3 linked regions of the Saccharomyces cerevisiae S288C genome follow. Changing the gene in region 2 together with the main gene of any one other region gives a genetic interaction. Each region holds a gene or a part of one and is shown on either strand. Other genes may lie near its edges.

Evidence for each region.
Region 1: mutations in INO4 (region 2) and GSF2 together harm fitness more than expected from each alone (negative genetic interaction), as found in Saccharomyces cerevisiae (3 studies listed by BioGRID).
Region 3: mutations in INO4 (region 2) and ICE2 together harm fitness more than expected from each alone (negative genetic interaction), as found in Saccharomyces cerevisiae (3 studies listed by BioGRID).

The regions. Positions count from the first base shown.
Region 1 is NC_001145.3:176,821-182,888, reverse strand, and holds GSF2 (Gsf2p), read right to left. Parts: upstream 4,464-6,068; coding exon 3,252-4,463; downstream 1-3,251. Other genes in the region: PRP39 (Prp39p), read right to left, coding at 1-1,415; pheromone-regulated K(+) transporter PRM6, read left to right, coding at 1,814-2,872; U2 snRNP complex subunit RSE1, read left to right, coding at 4,584-6,068. UniProt on the Saccharomyces cerevisiae protein: May be involved in the secretion of hexose transporters from the endoplasmic reticulum. Involved in secretion of GAL2 and HXT1.
Region 2 is NC_001147.6:109,277-115,430, forward strand, and holds INO4 (Ino4p), read right to left. Parts: upstream 2,611-6,154; coding exon 2,155-2,610; downstream 1-2,154. Other genes in the region: SHR5 (Shr5p), read left to right, coding at 1-613; ZEO1 (Zeo1p), read left to right, coding at 1,021-1,362; YOL107W (uncharacterized protein), read left to right, coding at 2,826-3,854; WSC3 (Wsc3p), read right to left, coding at 4,862-6,154. UniProt on the Saccharomyces cerevisiae protein: Transcriptional activator of phospholipid synthetic genes (such as INO1, CHO1/PSS, CHO2/PEM1, OPI3/PEM2, etc.).
Region 3 is NC_001141.2:191,618-198,321, reverse strand, and holds ICE2 (Ice2p), read right to left. Parts: upstream 4,728-6,704; coding exon 3,252-4,727; downstream 1-3,251. Other genes in the region: AVT7 (Avt7p), read left to right, coding at 1-391; YIL089W (uncharacterized protein), read right to left, coding at 2,106-2,723; rRNA-binding ribosome biosynthesis protein UTP25, read left to right, coding at 5,127-6,704.

The sequences.
Region 1 (6,068 bases), on a different chromosome or scaffold from region 2:
AACCAGAACGGTACAGAATTTTTAATGAGGATGTTTTTTTGATAAAGGTTGAAATATTTCCTTGTTTGCATATTATTTTTAAGTACAAGCCATGTAGTTTTTATCAATTCTACCACGACTATGCTTAAGTTTTTATCATTTATTAAGGTCTGTAAATGCACCTTGGCATCAATTTGATTATTGATGTAGTTGGTGATTGATGTCTCTAGGATTTTAGTAAACGATGTTTGTTTCTCTAGAATTTCCTTTGGCGATTGATCTAAGGAATTCTTAAAAGAATGTCTTTTCAACATACAAAGGTACTCCGTCATAAGTAATATGTCGTTGGGCCAAATCTTTAAATAACGCGATACTGTCTCATTGAATATGTTATTGAATAAGGTATTATTTGACCGATATTTTCTTTTCAAAAACCTAAGAAAATCATACCTCAAAGTTTTGAAATCCAGTGGTAAGAACGTATTGGCTTTTTGGTATATATCCACTACCACTTCATCGGATATATTTTTCTTTGTTAGCCACTTAATATACATCATCCACGTATTTTCATGGTAAAGACAAGGAATCAAACATCTGTCAAAAACGGACATTACGAATTCTTTATCCAAGGATTTTGAAGGATCCGTCACAAATTTTAAATATCGCGACCAATTTTCCAAATCATCATTTAACACTTGGCCCAGGTTGAAGAAGGGCTGTTTGATTTTCGATTCGAACTGCCAAATTTCATTTACTGTTGTTTGTGTTTTTCGTAAAACTATATCAATATTCCTTGTTGTCTTCAAATTTTTTTCATTTAAAAACTTCTTGTAAGATGTGAAAAACCGCGCATACTGATGTAGAGGAACTTCAATAATGTACTCGTATATTCTTTGAACGTTATGCCAATTCTTCTGCCCAACTTCAAATTCTATAAACTTGTCCCAAAAAGGGTGTGATAGAAACTGCTTGCCAATAAGATCCTTTGCAATTTCAAAATTATTCCTAATAAAATCCGTTTCGTTCGGGTTATTAACACACAACACATTCAAATAATCACACCATAACTCCAGAGAAGTTGGGAACCATTTGACCGAGGTGGCCAGAACAGCAATCGATTTCTTGAGACCAAATAACTGGTACTCAATAGTAGCAAACCTCTTCCAAAATCCAAACAATAAAGGGTACTTACGCAATATTTGCCATAAAATAGTTTCCAAGGCCAATTTGATTGAATCATTTGGATTGCCATATTTAACCACTGTTTGCTCTATAACATCTACCATTTGGGTCAACGAAGAAATATCTGACCAGTCTAAACCACGATATGCTTGTACTAATGCTGTGTTGTCTTGAAGGAACTGGGTGTCCAAACCTCGAAGGGCATCAGGCCTAGGCTCAATATCTTCTATTGTAAAATTTGTTTCATCTGGCATAACGAAAGACGGATTGCCAAGTATCCAATAGCAGTAAGGGCCAAAACTTTTTGTTGAACAAAGAAATGGCTGTGGAAGGCGCGTTTTTACTTTAGGACTTTGAAAACTTTCTTGCGTAAATTCTGTTTAAGTCTGAAACTTTCAACTCTGTATTAAATTTGTTTTAAGATGTGCGACGGCGACGTAAAATGGTAAAGAAAAAGAAAATGAATGATAGTAAATCATACTGAAAACGAATGATCTGAAACAATAAAAAAAGATATTTGTATATAAATTATTCAGCCATGCTCAAACCTCCAGATTAAAAATCAATAATGGATTAATTGAAAGCCCTGGAGCTGGCATTTTTTACCACATTGTCTAAGAGGGAAAGGAAAATGACAACAAAGCGCTAAATAATGGAATCAAGTTTACAAAAATTGAAATTCCAGGATATTGACATAAATCTTATTCCTACTGCGAAGTGGACCACAAAATTACAGTATATTCTATACACCTGGTGTCAGTCGATACTACATGTGGCCATGTTTTTTTCTGATATATACACGTGTATTAAATTACTGGCATTTAACACATGGTCGAACAATATCATCCAACCATTCTTGGAATTCCGTATTTCAAAATGGTTGTTTAGCGGATGCATATTATGCTCCTCATTAATATTAATTTGGGAGTTGGTAATTGGATTGAGAGTGTATAGGAAGAAAGAGATTACATCGAACTACATGAATGGCATTAGCAGATTAATAAATTGCTTGTTCAATTTCAAAAAGTATCAAATTTTCGAACTAATAGTGCTGACTGATGAGAAAAAATTCAGTAAGTGGTTATTCTTTTCATATTTTGAAATCAGTGGATGTTTGAGGCTATTGTTCGGTGACTCTCCAAGGCAAATAATCAACGGATTAACTTTGTGGTCAGTTTTACTGACAGTTTCGAATGAGACCAGTAGCGGAACCCATAGTACTCAAAGCCTAGGTAATTTAGATGACCTAAATGGAATAATAAACAAGATAAAACATATTGCTAAGACAAATTACGAAGAAAGTGTGATCTTGTCCTTCATGTTGTTCTCGTTTATCATATGGGTAATTTTAATAAGCAAATTAATTCTAAGCATAATAATATTCATCATTTTTATACGTCCGAGATTTTTGTCTAGTAAAAGGAAGGTTAAGGGGTATGAATTGAAACTACGAAAGTATGTGTCTAAAGTCATTGACGAGAATTTAAGTAGAACTGTCTACGAATTGGGAATATTGATAGATGATGAGGAAGAAGGGACCATATGTGGTGACAACAAAACGCAAAAAAAATTCGATTATGATAGTCCTGATTATGGCGACGAAAGCACAATACCGAGTTACTACTGCTACTCGGATGTAGAAACGTACGAAAGAGTATATACGCCCATAAAGGCATATTTCCCCCAGAAATACAAACATAAATACATATAAATGTAAACGAAGCTTTTTTTGACTGCAAAAATGCATTAAAAGTAAATCGATTCTCATTTATTGTATATATATTGTATATATTGTATGAAATATTTATAATGATAATGATAGTAACAAAAACCATTGATGGCTATAAACAATGAAACAAAAAAAAGCACTACGAAAACAGTAGATTCGTGAGGAATTGAAAAAAAGAGTGAAAAAACTAATAAAAACAACGAGAGTAAATAGGATAGTACAAAAATACTAGGAGTAAAAAAAGGCCCTCTAGTAGTAGTAATAGTAATAGTAATAGTAGTAGTACTAGTAGTAGTAGTAGTAGTTAAAGGCTATGGTTGAATAAAAAAAAAGTCTGGATGGTAGTGTTTTGGTTTTACAATTAATTAGATTTTTTCAAATCATTCTTTTTTATACCAAAAGTAGCATCATTGTTTGATGCTTTCTCTTTCTCATCAGCAATTTCTCTTCTGAGCTTAACTAGCGAGGCCAGTTTTTCATCTGGTTCATAAATACCAAACCTTCTAAACCTCCTAATTTCAGCATTCATCTTACCAATATCCCCGTCATACTCTTCCAAGATCTTCTTTAGATTGTTTTCCAGCTCCACAAAGTATTCTTCACTTAAAATGAATTTCCGTTCGGTTTTAATAGCCGTGAAAGTGGAAGCAGTGAACCTATCTTCTAGAGGACTTTGGAAACCCTCTCCAGCCACAAGTTGGATACCTGGTGCTGCAGCTTTCCTAATCGCGCCCGCTCTATAAGCAGCAACTGCACCACCCATCTTATCTATGACATAGTTGTAATAGTTAGTCTGGTAATCGTCGTAAGTAGCTCTCTTAGCACCAATCCAGCCCAGAGAGCGCAAACGTGTCTTTAAGTCAGTAGTGTTGTTATTGCCGCCAGAATTCTTAGCGCCGTTAGCAGAAGGAGAAGTTAAATCTCTCAAACTCCATAACTTGTAAGGATTGAAGCTGATGGGGTTGGCAATGCCTAATTTGAGGAATAAAGTAATTATGCCCACTTTGAAAATGTGCATGACAAAGAAAAGCCATTGAGCTACGAGACTAGAATAGTTTGCCTGAACTTCTTGTTCGAGTTTAGCGGCAATTTCAGGTAAATCCATGTGCTTGGCTACAGGAATCAATAGTCTAGACAATTGATTAGTCAAACAAATACCTGGGGTTGGAGAAATGGCGTCGGGCAAATCGGTATATAGCCAGGCCAACATAATAATGGTGTATACCCATATGTTTTTCTTGGATAGCTTCCACTCCGGAACAACTAGCTGACCAGGCCACAACTGGTCAATAAGCGGCTTGGAGTCATTCAACTCCTCGAGATTTTCTTCGTTATCAGCTTCATAATGGAACATCAAACAACCACCTTCGGACAGGTACCCTGGATGGATAGACTTATAGAACTTTACGGGCTCCTTCTCATGGAAAATTGATGGTCTCAGCACCATTAAGTCCGCCAAACCCGTCTTGGAAGGGAAAATCTTCTTAATTTTGTTATTTATGGTGTCTTCATTTGACACCTGAAACGCATAGTCGTGCTCGACATCTGCGTTAAGTCTAATGTAAATCTCCATGCTTGCAATCGCCCTCTATCAAAACAAAGTCCACCGATCTCTGCTGCCCCTCTCTAAAAAGGAAAACAATGGCACCATTAGCTTCTTTTCTCGCTTTTTTATAATATTTTCCATCATTAAATGTGGGGAGGTGGCAAAATGGCAGTAGTAAGCTTGTCGCCCCACACGGCGAAGATGCGTAAACTATTTGGGCAAGCTAGCACAACGATGGCTTATGACGGTTTAAAACGAGAGGCTGAAAGAAGAACAAGGAGTGACCATAACATAACAATGGTTGCTAAAGATGATGAGCTATACTTGTACCATCTTACTTTAAAGAAACAGACGAATTTCGTGCACTCCTGCATCGGACACTTCGTCGATCTGGAAGCAGGGTCCAAGCGTGAGCAGTCGCAATTGTGCGTAGCTACTGAGACGCATTTAGAACTTTATGATACTGCAGATGGGGAACTAAAGCTTATTGCCAAGTTTCAAAACCTGTTTGCGACGATAACCTCGATGAAGTCGCTGGATCTGCCGCATTCAGGGTCAAGGGCAAAAGCTTCCAACTGGCCCACTTTTCTAGCGCTAACTTCCGATTCTGGTAACCTAAGTATCGTGCAAATCATTATGCATGCAGGTGCTCTTAGACTTAAGACTTTAGTGAACCAGCCATTGACGAGGACCACCCTTCGAAGAGTCTCTCCCATATCATACATGGAAATTGACCCTAATGGGCGTTGTATCATTCTCTCATCTGTCGAACAAAATAAATTGTGTTTCCTCGTTGATTATGCTCAAAAATTGAGGATTTCGTCTCCATTGGAAATCATCAGACCCCATATGGTAACGCTGGATATGGCAGTTGTTGATGTAAATTTCAATAATCCATGTTTTGTTACCTTAGAAATCGACAATGCCGCTACTCAACTATCAGTACACTTGATATTTTATGTCCTCGAGTTGGGTTTGAATCACATCGTCAAGAAGGCAGATTATTTAGTTAACCCATCTGCCAATTTCGTACTGAGTTTGCCAGATCTATCGCGATATAATATAACAACTTCGCTAAGCGACAACAACTATGATGCTGACTATGATACCCTTTTCAACCCTTTTGTTGTCATAGGCTTCGAAAATCATATTCTGGTAAAGGATATGAACGGATTTTTCAGCCTGAAAGTGGAAATACCCAAAAGATCTATCACAAATAGCCGTCATAAAAATGTAACAATCATATCAGGCATAGTGCAGAAATTGAAAAATGATTTTTTCGTACTTTTACAATCTAACCATGGCGATCTTTTTAAGTTAACTGTAAGTCCAGACACTAATGATAGAAATAGACCTTTAGTTCAATTGTCCTACTTTGATACAATCCAAAATTCACACCAATTACACATTTTCAAAAACGGTTATCTTTTTGCACTATCTGAAATGAATAACAACTTTCTTTTCCAGTTTGAGAAACTTGGTGTAGAGAAAAATGATTTTTCTAATGTTTTAACCTCAAAAGATCCAAATAAGTCGCTAGTTTTCGAACCATCCATAAAGTTGCAGAATTTGAGCATATTATCGCAACAATTGAATTTGAACCCTTCAATAAAATCTCAAATTGTCAGTGAT
Region 2 (6,154 bases):
CGGTTCCGAAGACGCTAAACCCACAGAGCACGACGAAGACCACAAATTGTGTATTACACATTTCCCGAATGTGTATGCTGCTCGGGGCTCTGCCGAGTTCCAGGTGACCCGGGTGGTACGAGTGCCCCGGCGGTTCGATGAGTCTCGCAGCAGCCTTGAAACGCCACAATTTAGTACACAGCTTCCCGGTAGCGAGCCGGCGGCAATCGTGGGCGACGATGGCACTAGCTTTGTGCGGTGCGGGCGTTACGACATTGGGGATCACGTGTTTGGCTGCTCCTCCGTCTCGCCTCTGTCAGAATATCTTAGTGCGGCAGAGCTCGCGGAGGTTGTGCACCGGGTAAACGGATTCTTGCTGCGTGAAGAAGGTGAGGTGTTCGGGTGGCGTAACTTAAGTGGCCTGTTGCTCGATATGCTTACGGGCGGTCTGTGGAGCTGGGTTTTGGGGCCCCTTCTTTCTAGACCTGTGTTTCAGGAGTCTCTCGCGTTAGAGCAGTACGTGGCGCAGCTAAACTCGCCGGGAGGTCTGCTTCACGAGCGCGGTGTGCGCCTAGTATTGCCCCGACGGTCCGGGTGCCTATCCCTAGATTTCGTCGTGCCCCGACCCAAATAGTTAAACGTGTGGTTTATGGGTGCACCAGGGCTTTATCGTGTTTTATATCGATGGCGATTTGTGCCTCCAGTGTATTTTTGTATATCCAATTAAGGTTTCTTACCTAATTTTATTTTTATCATCTTTAGTTAATGCTGGTTTGCTCTGTTTCTGCTGCTTTCTGTGCGGTTCTCCTCTTCTCTTGTTTCTTCGTGTTGTCCCCCATCGCCGATGGGCTTATATGGCGTATATATATAGAGCGAGTTTTTACGTCGAAGATCATCTCAGTTTGCTTGATAGCCTTTCTACTTTATTACTTTCGTTTTTAACCTCATTATACTTTAGTTTTCTTTGATCGGTTTTTTTCTCTGTATACTTAAAAGTTCAAATCAAAGAAACATACAAAACTACGTTTATATCAATTAATAATGTCTGAAATTCAAAACAAAGCTGAAACTGCCGCCCAAGATGTCCAACAAAAGTTGGAAGAAACCAAAGAATCTTTGCAAAACAAGGGCCAAGAAGTAAAGGAACAAGCTGAAGCTTCTATCGACAACCTAAAAAATGAAGCTACTCCAGAAGCTGAACAGGTGAAGAAGGAAGAACAAAACATTGCTGATGGTGTCGAACAAAAGAAGACCGAAGCTGCCAACAAAGTTGAAGAAACTAAGAAGCAAGCTTCCGCCGCCGTCAGTGAGAAGAAGGAAACCAAGAAGGAAGGCGGTTTCTTGAAGAAATTGAACCGTAAAATTGCTTCCATTTTCAACTAATCACACTTGAATGTGCTGCACTTTACTAGAAGTTTCTTTTTCTTTTTTTAAAAATAAAAAAAGAGGAGAAAAATGCTGTTTATTCTGACCTTTTACATAAATTTTTCTTAATTGTATCTATCTAATAACTAATCAATATAATAATAATAATACTAATAATAATAATAATAATAATAATAATAGTAGTAGTAGTAGTAGTAGTAATAATGATGATGATGATGATGATGGATGATCAAAAGCCACAAAAAAGAATGCTCCGAGAATAACCTCGGCGGTTATTTCACGTCCCGGAGGAAAAAAAGTTTGATAAGAAAGTAAAAATATGAGCGGTACGAGAATCGAACCCGTGTCCCCACCTTGGAAGGGTGGGATGATAACCACTACACTAACCGCCCGGGTTAATTGTTATTAGTTGGTGAAACTGATCTCAATCACTATAACATTATGGTCTCTTAATAGCAAAGGCCAACCAACTGACTTCTTGCAAACTGATGTTCAATTTTAGCTCTAAAATAAAACAATGTAAAAGAAAGATAAAATGACATAAAGCACTATCGCTTCAACGGCAAACAATATTGAAAAAGTATCACATTATAGTAAGTTGAACACTAAAAGATTAAATAAATACTTCGGCACACTTTCGATGAAGGAAAGCATTAGTAGTAACGTATATATATCATTGTTGTTGCTACTTTTCTTTGTGGGATATGCACCACTCCCCTCTGCAAAGTGAAGAAAAGGTATGGGAAGAATTTCTTCGCTTATATTACTTACTTTACCCTACTCCTTGAATCACTGACCACTCTGTCCATCACCCAGCTCCCAAATTAACTCCTTCGGTACTAAATCCCGAATGTTTCCATTTTGTTCTTGTACGGGATCGCTGCTGCTGCTGCTGCCGGTTTTTGCCTCATGCTTAGCTATGATTTGTTTTCTCAGCTTTTCATTCCTTTCATACAACCAACTTAAGTAACTCAAGCTTTTCAGGTATATGATTAGTTCTGACCGACTTTCCTGGGGTTGCAGGTCAGGTACTACTGCTACCAGTTCGTCAAATATAGCTCTTTCCAATTCTCTCCTTTTTTTTTCAGACGAAACATGATTTATACGTATTTGACCATCAGTCAATTTATTAATCTTCTTAGACCTGCGTTTCCTTTTCTTCACATTAGCCAGTTCACCCTTTATCTCCTTAATCTCGGACAATCCCGGCTGTATTGTTTGTATCTCCTTAATATCGTTCGTCATTATTGCTTTTCTCTTTTTAGTTCAAGCCGCCCTCTTAACTCCTTCGTCAAGCTTATCTTGTTGGCATTGGAATTTCGCAAACGCAATCGCGCCTCTGTCTTTAAGGTGAGAAAAACATGTGAATATTTTGTTTGATACGTAACAAGCTCATACAAACCAAGCCAAGAAAAAGAAGACGACTAATCTATTTATAACAAAGATATTTGTTCACTATAATGCAATATAGTTCGAGGTTCCTAGAATTGAATATCCCGGATTCATTTTTAAATATCAATAAGATTCCTGATGCTACTAAATTTATTACAGTCACTTATATATGCTTAACTGCAACCCTTTTCTGTATAAGGAGATCCTTGTACAACAAGCTAGTTCTTGAAGACCCTAACTTGGACTACAACTTGATTACTTCGCCGCTTTTGCAAATGGTACCTTCGCAGATTTGGAGGTACCCCACCTCATTAGTTCTATCCAACTTCATCGACACTAAAGCTTGGAAGGTGGTAGTGAACTTATTGAATTTGATCATTGGTGGATCCTTCATTGAACGCAATTGGAACTCTTCCAAAGAAATGTTCAAATTTATCATAGTTTTAGGTTCTCTTACAAACGTTCTGATCATCATGCTGACTTTGTTAGTATCTTTTTTCTCTAATAAGGTAAGGCTGGATATTCCCTTAGACGGGAACTACACAATTTTAATCGGTTTCCCTATCATTTATAGACAGTTATTGCCTGAAACAACTATAATCCATCTGAAGACACCTCAATTTTTGGCCAAAAACTTTAGGTTCAAATTACTACCCATTTTTGTAATGTTTACAATGACGGTAACCCAAATAATATGGTTTCATCATTTTGCTCAATTGTTCTCCATTTGGGTTACCTTTTTTGCCAGTTGGTCGTACTTGAGGTTTTTCCAGAAACTTGCACCCTTGAATTGTCCCTCTTTGCCAACAACTAATTCTCAAGGTGGTCAGGAAATATTGGTCGGCGATGCATCTGATACTTTTCAATTGATTTACTTCTTTCCTGATCTAATTAAGCCGATTTTGAGGCCGATTTTCAATTTCATTTATAATGTAGTTGTTGTAAAATTTAAAGTCATTAAACCTTTTCATGATATTGATATAGATATTGGGAACACCATCGCAGAAAGTAGAGGCGCCAAAAAAATTATGACTGTAGAAGAAAGACGAAGACAGTTAGCTTTACAAGTTTTGGAAGAGCGTATGGTAAACCCTTGATATATGGATCTATATAACTTGAAATATGCTCTATTATATCGTGATTTAATGACGGCTGTTGGCATTTCGGTCTTTACCAAGGTAGTAGGATTTGTATGCTGAATGTGCGCCAGTACTATCGAACCATAGAAACCCATATATTCCCCAATATTAATAATTCTACTGAGAAATGGGTGAATTTTGAAATAATTGTTGGGATTCCATCGTTGATAAAGGCTATAATATTAGGTATACAGAATGTACTAGAAGTTCTCCTCGATGATATAGGAATCCCCATAATGGAATCTATATTTCTATGTACCAATATTACGATTATTCCTCATTCCATTTCATATGTTTCATTATCCTATTACATTATCGATCCTTGCATTTCAGCTTCCTCTAACTTCGGTGACAGCTTCTATAATAACTTATGTCACTATCTAACACCGTATATGATAATATATTGATAGTATGACTACTAGTTGATAGACGATAGTTGGTTTTTATTCCAACATCTACATAGTGGCACTCACTACGCTGCTAAATTTGATCATTTGGTGAATAATTTGATAATTAGTAGTTCTTCTCCGGGATATAGGAATCAACAAAAGGAAAACGATAGTTTTACATAATAATATTAATTTATCTTGCTTGGTTCGCCTTTGAAGAGCGCAGCTTTCAGAGATTTAGCTTCTATGGCCAAGTTGGTAAGGCGCCACACTAGTAATGTGGAGATCATCGGTTCAAATCCGATTGGAAGCATTTTTTTTTAATATTTTAAAATTGTTTATATTTTTGTACCACAAACATCATTAGAAGCTGCAAATGAAGTGAATCAGAAAATTTAAAAATGAAACTAAATACTAAATATTATTGTTCTTTTTCTAACAGTTGAAGTGCCAAAAGCAGTAAATTGTTTAAATATTAGGGTATAAAACATGATATTATAAAGTTAATGATTTAGAATGGCTCCGTCCAGCAGAACCAGTTGATTACCATTAATGTTGAGAGTTTATGCGAGTTTTTCAGGCTCGATTATGAGATACGGTACTAGATAATTCAGGATTATCAGGATTATCAGGGTTTACCACTTGCAATGGTCCGCTCATCATCATGTCGGGTAAAGAATTGGCACTGAACCTTTCATTTGCACTATTCAAAGTATTTGCCTCTTCAAAAACTGTCGATGGAAGGTTCTGTTTCTGAACCGTAGCATCTTGTAAGCCAGCCAAGTTGTTTATGATGCTTCCACTGGTGTTTGAACTAGGACTACTATAATTTGCACCATTACTCATAGAAAAACCATACATATTACTTGTACCGATAGAACCCGCTGTATTACCCCTTGAATGTCTCATCCAATTTGTCGTACCAGAGGAGGGAGGCGGTCCTATTGGATTTGCATCCTCATCACCGAACGAATAGGGCTGATAATGTTTCGTTTCCTCCAAGTCTAATTGGTCGTGCGATTTCCGTCTCCTCCATATCAGGAACAATAGAATCAAAATAATAAAAATTACGCCAAACACAACACCAATAACAATACCGGCAATGGCTCCACCACTCAGACGCTGCTTCGAAGTCGAATTAGATCTATTATTTGAGGCGGCAGCAGTAGCAGTAGCTACCTCAGAAGATCGTTCAACCACGGATGTCCTCGTAACAAATATTGTTTCCTGATGTTGATCAGAAGTACTCACGATCGCTTTTGTAACCACACTAGTCACTAGTTCCACTGAGGTAACTATTGGTATCGTTGATGACGTACTAGGGGTCATTGAGGTCACTTTTGGAGTTGATAGTGTGCTGCTACTCGAGGACACTGGCACCAAGGTGGAAGAGGGTGAAGAAGTACGGCTATCGACTGTGGTATGCTCAGATGAGGACAATGTAATGGATGAGGAGCTAGACGTAACAGAAAAGATAGAGGTAGTAGAGGAGGTAGTAGAGGAGGTAGTAGAAGAGGTAGTAGAAGAGGTGGTAGAAGAGGTGGTAGAAGAGGTGGTAGAAGAGGTGGTAGAAGAGGTAGTAGAGGAAGTCGAGGAAGAGGTAGTAGAAGAGGTGGTAGAAGAGGTGGTAGAAGAGGTGGTAGAAGAGGTAGTAGAGGAAGTCGAGGAAGAGGTTGTTGAAGTGGTAGAAACTGTCGTGGCTATCATTTCAGAACTTTTCATATCTGTTGACGTTCTCCTAGTAGTTGAAGAAATTTGGGCGGAGGACAATGAAGAAGTTGTTGAGGGCATATAGGAAGTGCTAGACCCTTCTTTGGAAGAGGAAGATTCAACCGATGAAACAAAAGTTTCAGCATTTACATACACGTT
Region 3 (6,704 bases), on a different chromosome or scaffold from region 2:
TTCAATTGAAAGTCAAGAGAACAATAATGATGAAAGAGGGACTATGGCGGTCGCCGGGGATAACGAGCATCATGCGCCATTTGTTAAGTCTAGATTTTACTGGATTACTGCATTATTACTAATAAGCATGTATACCTTGGCGTTGTCTGTCCAGTCATTTGCACTGGTTCTTTCATTTGTAGGGGCTACAGGTTCAACGTCTATTTCATTCACTTTACCTGGATTATTAGGTTACAAATTAATAGGCTTGGATTCTTTGGCTATTGGGAAGATGATTCCACCAAAAGATAGATTTTACAAAAGGTGCAGCTTATTGCTAGTCTTCTACGGACTATCTGTGATGTTTTTGTCATTGTATGTAACTGTATTCAACCGTTCAGATGAAGCCTAAATGGACCAATAGTCATGCAAGAGAAGTATAAAACAGTATATAGTAAATAGTAAATAGAATCAGAGACAGCAGACTCAAAGTTTTATGCTTAACGCGATCATCGACTAGTTTAATACTTTATTCTATGGCACTTACAAAAAGGTATTACCCTGCTAAACAATAAAGATCCCTGAAAAAATGGAGCAGGCTCAGAGAATGTGACTTCATGCGCTTTAGTGGTAAAAATACTGCCTAAATAGTCCCTAAAAAAAAAAGAATAAAAAATAACTCCGAAGCGGGGAGTCGAACCCCGGTCTCCACGGTGAGAACGTGATGTGATAGCCGTTACACTACATCGGATTTGATTAGCTTGATTTGAATAGAAAAACATGTTACCATATCAGTAAATATGAATGATCTTTATTTATATATATATGTCCGGAAAATTGTAGGAATAAAAACCTGTTGGAGTAAAAATCAACCATCATCTATCAACTAGTAGTTACACTATCAATATATTATCATATACGGTGTTAAATGGTGACGCAAGTTATGAGAAGCTGTCATTGAAGTTGGAGGAAGCTGAAATGCAAGGATTGATAATGTAATAGGATAATGAAACATATAAAACGGAATAAGGAATAAAACGGAATGAGGAATAATCTTAATATTAGTATGTAGAAATACAGATTCCATTTTGAGGATTCCTAAATCCTCGAGGAAAACTTCTAGTATATATACTGTATACATAATATTATAGCCTTTATCAACAATGGAATCCCAACAATTATCTCAAAATTCACCCATTTCTCTCTTATATACCATAAGAATATACAGTATTTATCCCTAATTATTACTGCCTTTCAATTACTGTTCATTGACAACTGGGAACAAATAAGCAAGCCGTATTAATAACCACGGTAATTACTGTTGGAACGAGAGTAATTAATAGTGACATGAGTTGCTATGGTAACAATCTAATGCTTACATCGTATATTAATGTACAACTCGTATACGTTTAAGTGTGATTGCGCCTATTGCAGAAGGAATGTTAAACGAGAAGCTCAGACAATACTGAAGCTGTGTTAAAGACCTATTAGTTGAACATGTTATGGTAGGTACATATATGAGGAATATGAGTCGTCACATCAATGTATAGTAACTACCGGAATCACTATTATATTGGTCATAATTAATATGACCAATCGGCGTGTGTTTTATATACCTCTCTTATTTAGTATAAGAAGATCAGTACTCACTTCTTCATTAATACTAATTTTTAACCTCTAATTATCAACAATTACATATAATTATATGTTCTGTTATGGTTTTCTGTACTATCGAGGAGAACTTACAGTATACCCAATATATCCATAGATTTGCTTTTAAAAAAATGCAATTTACATTATTATTTGAAGATTCACCTGTGTTTCTAAACACGAAATTAAAAAACGTCAGTAATTCATATCGTTCTTAATAATTATTTCTCTCTGCGTTTTTATACCCTGTCACCCACTCTCCCACTACAATGTTAATCTTTACGCATCAGCTTCCGGAGACTATTAACATTTTTAATCAATTCAGCCGATGTTATAATCTGCTTCATTTTCCGAAGATCATATGTGATAATGGCACGAAAATATCGAACGCTAGACAGTGTGCAGTAGTCCATTTTTGTTTCAATCGCAATTAAATGCTATCCAGATTCAAGATACTATCGAAAAAACTACAGTTGTTAAACCTCGTCACCGCCTGACGATGATTTGTTTGCAAAAGAATCCTCATACACATCAAGAGGCGCACTATGTGATTCTAAATGGTCCCCGTAAAAGGCGAATAACTTCATATTAAGAATTGCATTAAGTTGCCAAAAGAATAGCTCTAAGAGTCTGTTTAGATCAACAGTCTGATCAGTTTTAAAGAACTTATTAATCTTTACCAACGAATAAACCCCAAAACAGAACGTTCCTAGACATAGGAGTGAATGTTTGAATTTGAACCACTTGGGGTGGTGAGCGTTTGCATTACAGCGAGAGCACGAAAATTTCGAGCACCGTTTTGTTTTCCTTTTGAAGTAGTGCTTCCCAAAGTTACCATCTTCTAGCAGTAGGAGTTGGTGCGTAGCAAAAATAAACAGTGATATCAAATCAAAGACAAGTTGTACCTTCAAAAACTTTGCAACTTTTGGATGCTGCTTCTTTAAAGGATGCAATGGCGGAATTAGAAATGTGTCAACTATATAGACGATATCGGCAACTCTTGATAATTTTTTAACCATTATAAAAAATCTAGATCGGGGTACTTCAGTTTGGTCTATTGCGACACTCGATTCCAATTCCCTCGTACGTTGCATTCCCAAATTTAAGAATGGATTCTTCTCATTATTCACTTTTCTAAGAGGGAAAGAATAATAATCCAAGGATGAAGATCATCTTAAGTACCTCTTATCGTTGTGATAAGAGAAGAAAAAGGGTTCTTGGAAATTAGCAAAACAGAAAAAAAAAAACCGAAATAAAATTATCTAGAATAATCTGCATCGGCTTCAGGTTAAAATCTACCACGTAATAAAAGTAGTATTTCAGGGAAATGTTATATATTTATATATTTATGTGTCTACATATTAGAGTATGAGTTAAAATGTTCATTGTATTTATTAGAAAATAGTGGTGAGCGTAAGGGATTTTCACTATGAACGTGCAAGGGACTAATGCAAATAATAACAAAAAAAGAAACTAACCAAATGTAAAAATGGTTCAGGAATGGCACTTAAAACAGATATCATCTATCACTTAGTTATAAGTCAGTTGGTATTTCACCTTCCTTTTTGTCTTCGCGTATTTGGCAAAGCTGGTAATGCGGCTCTTTTGACAATGCATCAGCTTCAACTACCAGAACCTATTAATTCTGTAGCGTATACCAAAATAGTACAGAAAATGTTGCACCAGTTCCAAAATCCCCATGAATCTACTATAATTTCTGGTTGATCTACGCCAAACCACTTTTCACTGCAACCCCATATGCACAGGTCTTTCTTTAGCTCACCTGAATATTGTAAAATCAGGTGAGTATACATAGCAATTAATATGCAAGGACTGTACCAATACAATCCCTTCATGATCCTGCGACTCTTGCGCAACTGTTTGTCATTTTTTCTTTGTAATGCTGGAATAATCCTCGTTGCCGAGTAAAACATCAGAACTCTAAAGCATAAATTGATTACTATAGCTGGGGAAACTGATTCGCTTGCCATCTTAATTGTAACTTGACAAAATTCATTAATGGATAGCGGAACACTAAAGGTGAAATTCTTGAAAAATTTCCAAAATGGTTTAGATATCAAGGATACTTTTTCGAATGATAGAATGCTAATGAGTTTATCATGAAAATCACCGGTTTTCTTTCTTCCTCTAGGAATAAAGGACCCCCATAACACCTCTGCATTTTTCAATATGACATTATGAAAGTAGCACAAAAGATTGTCAGCTGTGGGCAGATTTCTTTGATGTTTCTGCCAGACGTCTTTGAACAAATTTAAAATTTCATCAGTCGCGGTAGTAGCTAATTTGGGGGAAATTTCATAAATACAACGAACAATATACGCAAAAAATAAAGAGCTCTCTATGACGGATCCTTTTTGACTCACAATACCATACAACCCCAGTCCACATACCATAGACAAAACAAGTCCTAATAAGGACGCCGTTTGGATGGATAACGGCCATATGGGGGTGACATAAATCCGATACAAATAGTACAGCGATGCGGTAATCACACCTCCGGAGGTTAACAATGAGGAAATAATCCACGTGTTTGAATTCAAGTCATTTGATAACCATCTATTAGTTTCCCCGACGGCCTGAATGGCTAAAATAGTGAAAAAACCTTCCGATAGAGTAAAAAAAGGTGTGGACTTGGTAAGCACGAATTGCCACGGTTGTACAACAAATCGATAGTAGTAATAATATAAGACGTAGTTAATTTGATTGGAATTCAAGCTATTTTTCAAAGCTTCCAGGAACGACTCCGACTCATTATATTTATTTTTCAGAACGTTTCCCAACTCATCATTAGAAAATCCAGACAAAAACAGGTATAGCAAAGATGCAATGATAAAATGTTGTGAGTAATACAGACAGTTGGTAAAAAAAATGTATAGTCTTCCTCCATGTCGTCTTGCCAACACGTTAAGAGTCGTAGTTATGAAATATAAAGTGAACAGTGTCACCGTGAAGGAAAGCCCGCATTCCAAACCACCAACTTTAAACGAGATTGGAATTGAAAGTAGTGTGAATAACAGATAGAAACATGCTGCGCAGATTCGTCCACTCTGCATGAAGCTTTTGGACAAACTGGTCATCGTTGCCTAATCTTTAGCGTGATCGGCCACAAACAGCACCTCTCTAATAGATCTAAGCAATTACGCGATGGGCTGAGGGGAGCAAAACGGAAAAAGAAGCTTCACGAATACTATAAGATCCACCAACACTTTACGCACAGCCCTTCCAGTATCACTACACCTCGATCCTTTACCTATGTTCATCTTCTCATCAATCATCTCTCCGAAACCAGTAACCGCTCCAGTCCCTTGCTTCGCTTCAAGCTGATGCGATTCCTCGTGTACCATGATCTGAAAAATTTTTCCTTCGCAATACTACTATAATTTAGCTCATCGCATATTTTGCAATAATATAATACAGGGAATAAACTGCATTGGTTCAGTGAGACGGTGGTATAATTGCGAAGTGACCAAATTGTAATGAGTGACAGTTCTGTGAGGGAAAAGAATGATAATTTCCGTGGCTATCGGAAAAGAGGAAGACAAGAACTGAGGAAGATTAAAAGATCTTCTGCCAGAACTGAAGGCGGAAGCACAGAAACATTAGAGGACGTAGCAGAAGATATTGACCATAGATCCGATGAGGATGAAGTGTCCGATGTCGACAGTGGCGATGATTTCGATATTGAGGATGAAGAGGGTAAAAAGGAAAAAGTTTATGACGCTTTATTGACGATTCTCAAATCTGAACATCCAGAGCCAAAAAGAAGAAGGCGAGAGGCTGACGAGAGTAACAAAGCTCCTGCCGAAGTTGGGGAGGATGAGCACGAAAATACAGAACATGGACCAGTGGATGATCAATTGGAGATAGAGAATGGCCTTTTGGGTAATCACGAGGATGATAACGACGATGACAGCAGTGGAGACGAAAAAGATATAGACAGTGAAGATGAGCAAGATCCTTTCGAGTCTCATTTCAACCAAGTTCCGGAGAAATTCGTTGATAAGTTGTCGAATGCTTTCAAGACCAAAAGTGTAAAATACAAATCCGTAAAGGGCTCACTAAGTGACAGTGAATCATATATATATGCTAAACCGGTAGTAATTGGTGAGGAAGCATTGGTGGAAAGTCCGTACAGGTCATCATCTATATATTCATACTTTTTGAAACAAAGGCTAAAAGTGCAAAATGGACTATTGGATAAAAAAACTGATCCATTGACTGCTTTGCAAAAAAAATTAGTAGACCCCATGTTTCAGTATAAAGACATATTATACGAGTATGACTCCTACGAAAAGGACGAAGACGAGTACAGAGATTTATATGCTTTGCATGTTTTGAATCACATCTACAAGACAAGAGATAGAATCTTGAAAAATAATCAAAGATTACAGGATAACCCAGACACTGAACACCTAGATCAAGGTTTTACAAGACCAAAAGTGTTAATTGTAGTCCCTACTAGAGAGGTGGCGTACCGCGTTGTAGATAAGATAATTTCAAAATCTGGTATAGATCAGGTTGACAAGAAGGGAAAGTTCTACGACCAATTCCGTGACGACTCCTTACCTCCAAAGTCCAAACCAAAATCTTTCCAACACATATTTAGGGGGAACACCAACGATTTTTTTGTTGTCGGTCTCAAATTCACAAGAAAGGCTATAAAACTTTATAGCAATTTTTACCAGTCTGACATTATTGTATGTTCGCCATTGGGTATTCAAATGATCTTAGAAAATACAGATAAAAAAAAGAGGCAGGACGATTTTTTGTCCTCAATAGAGTTGATGGTGATTGATCAATTACATTCAATAGAATACCAGAACATATCTCATATTTTCACCATCTTTGACCATCTTAACAAAATCCCGGATCAACAACATGAAGCTGACTTTAGCAGAATTCGGATGTGGTACATTAATGAACAAGCTAAGCTCTTCAGACAGACAATGGTATTCACAAAATACATCTCGCCAGCGGCTAATTCATTAATCAATGGTAGATGCCGTAACATGGCAGGAAGATGGAAGAATCACAAGGTAATAGGATCAGAAAAC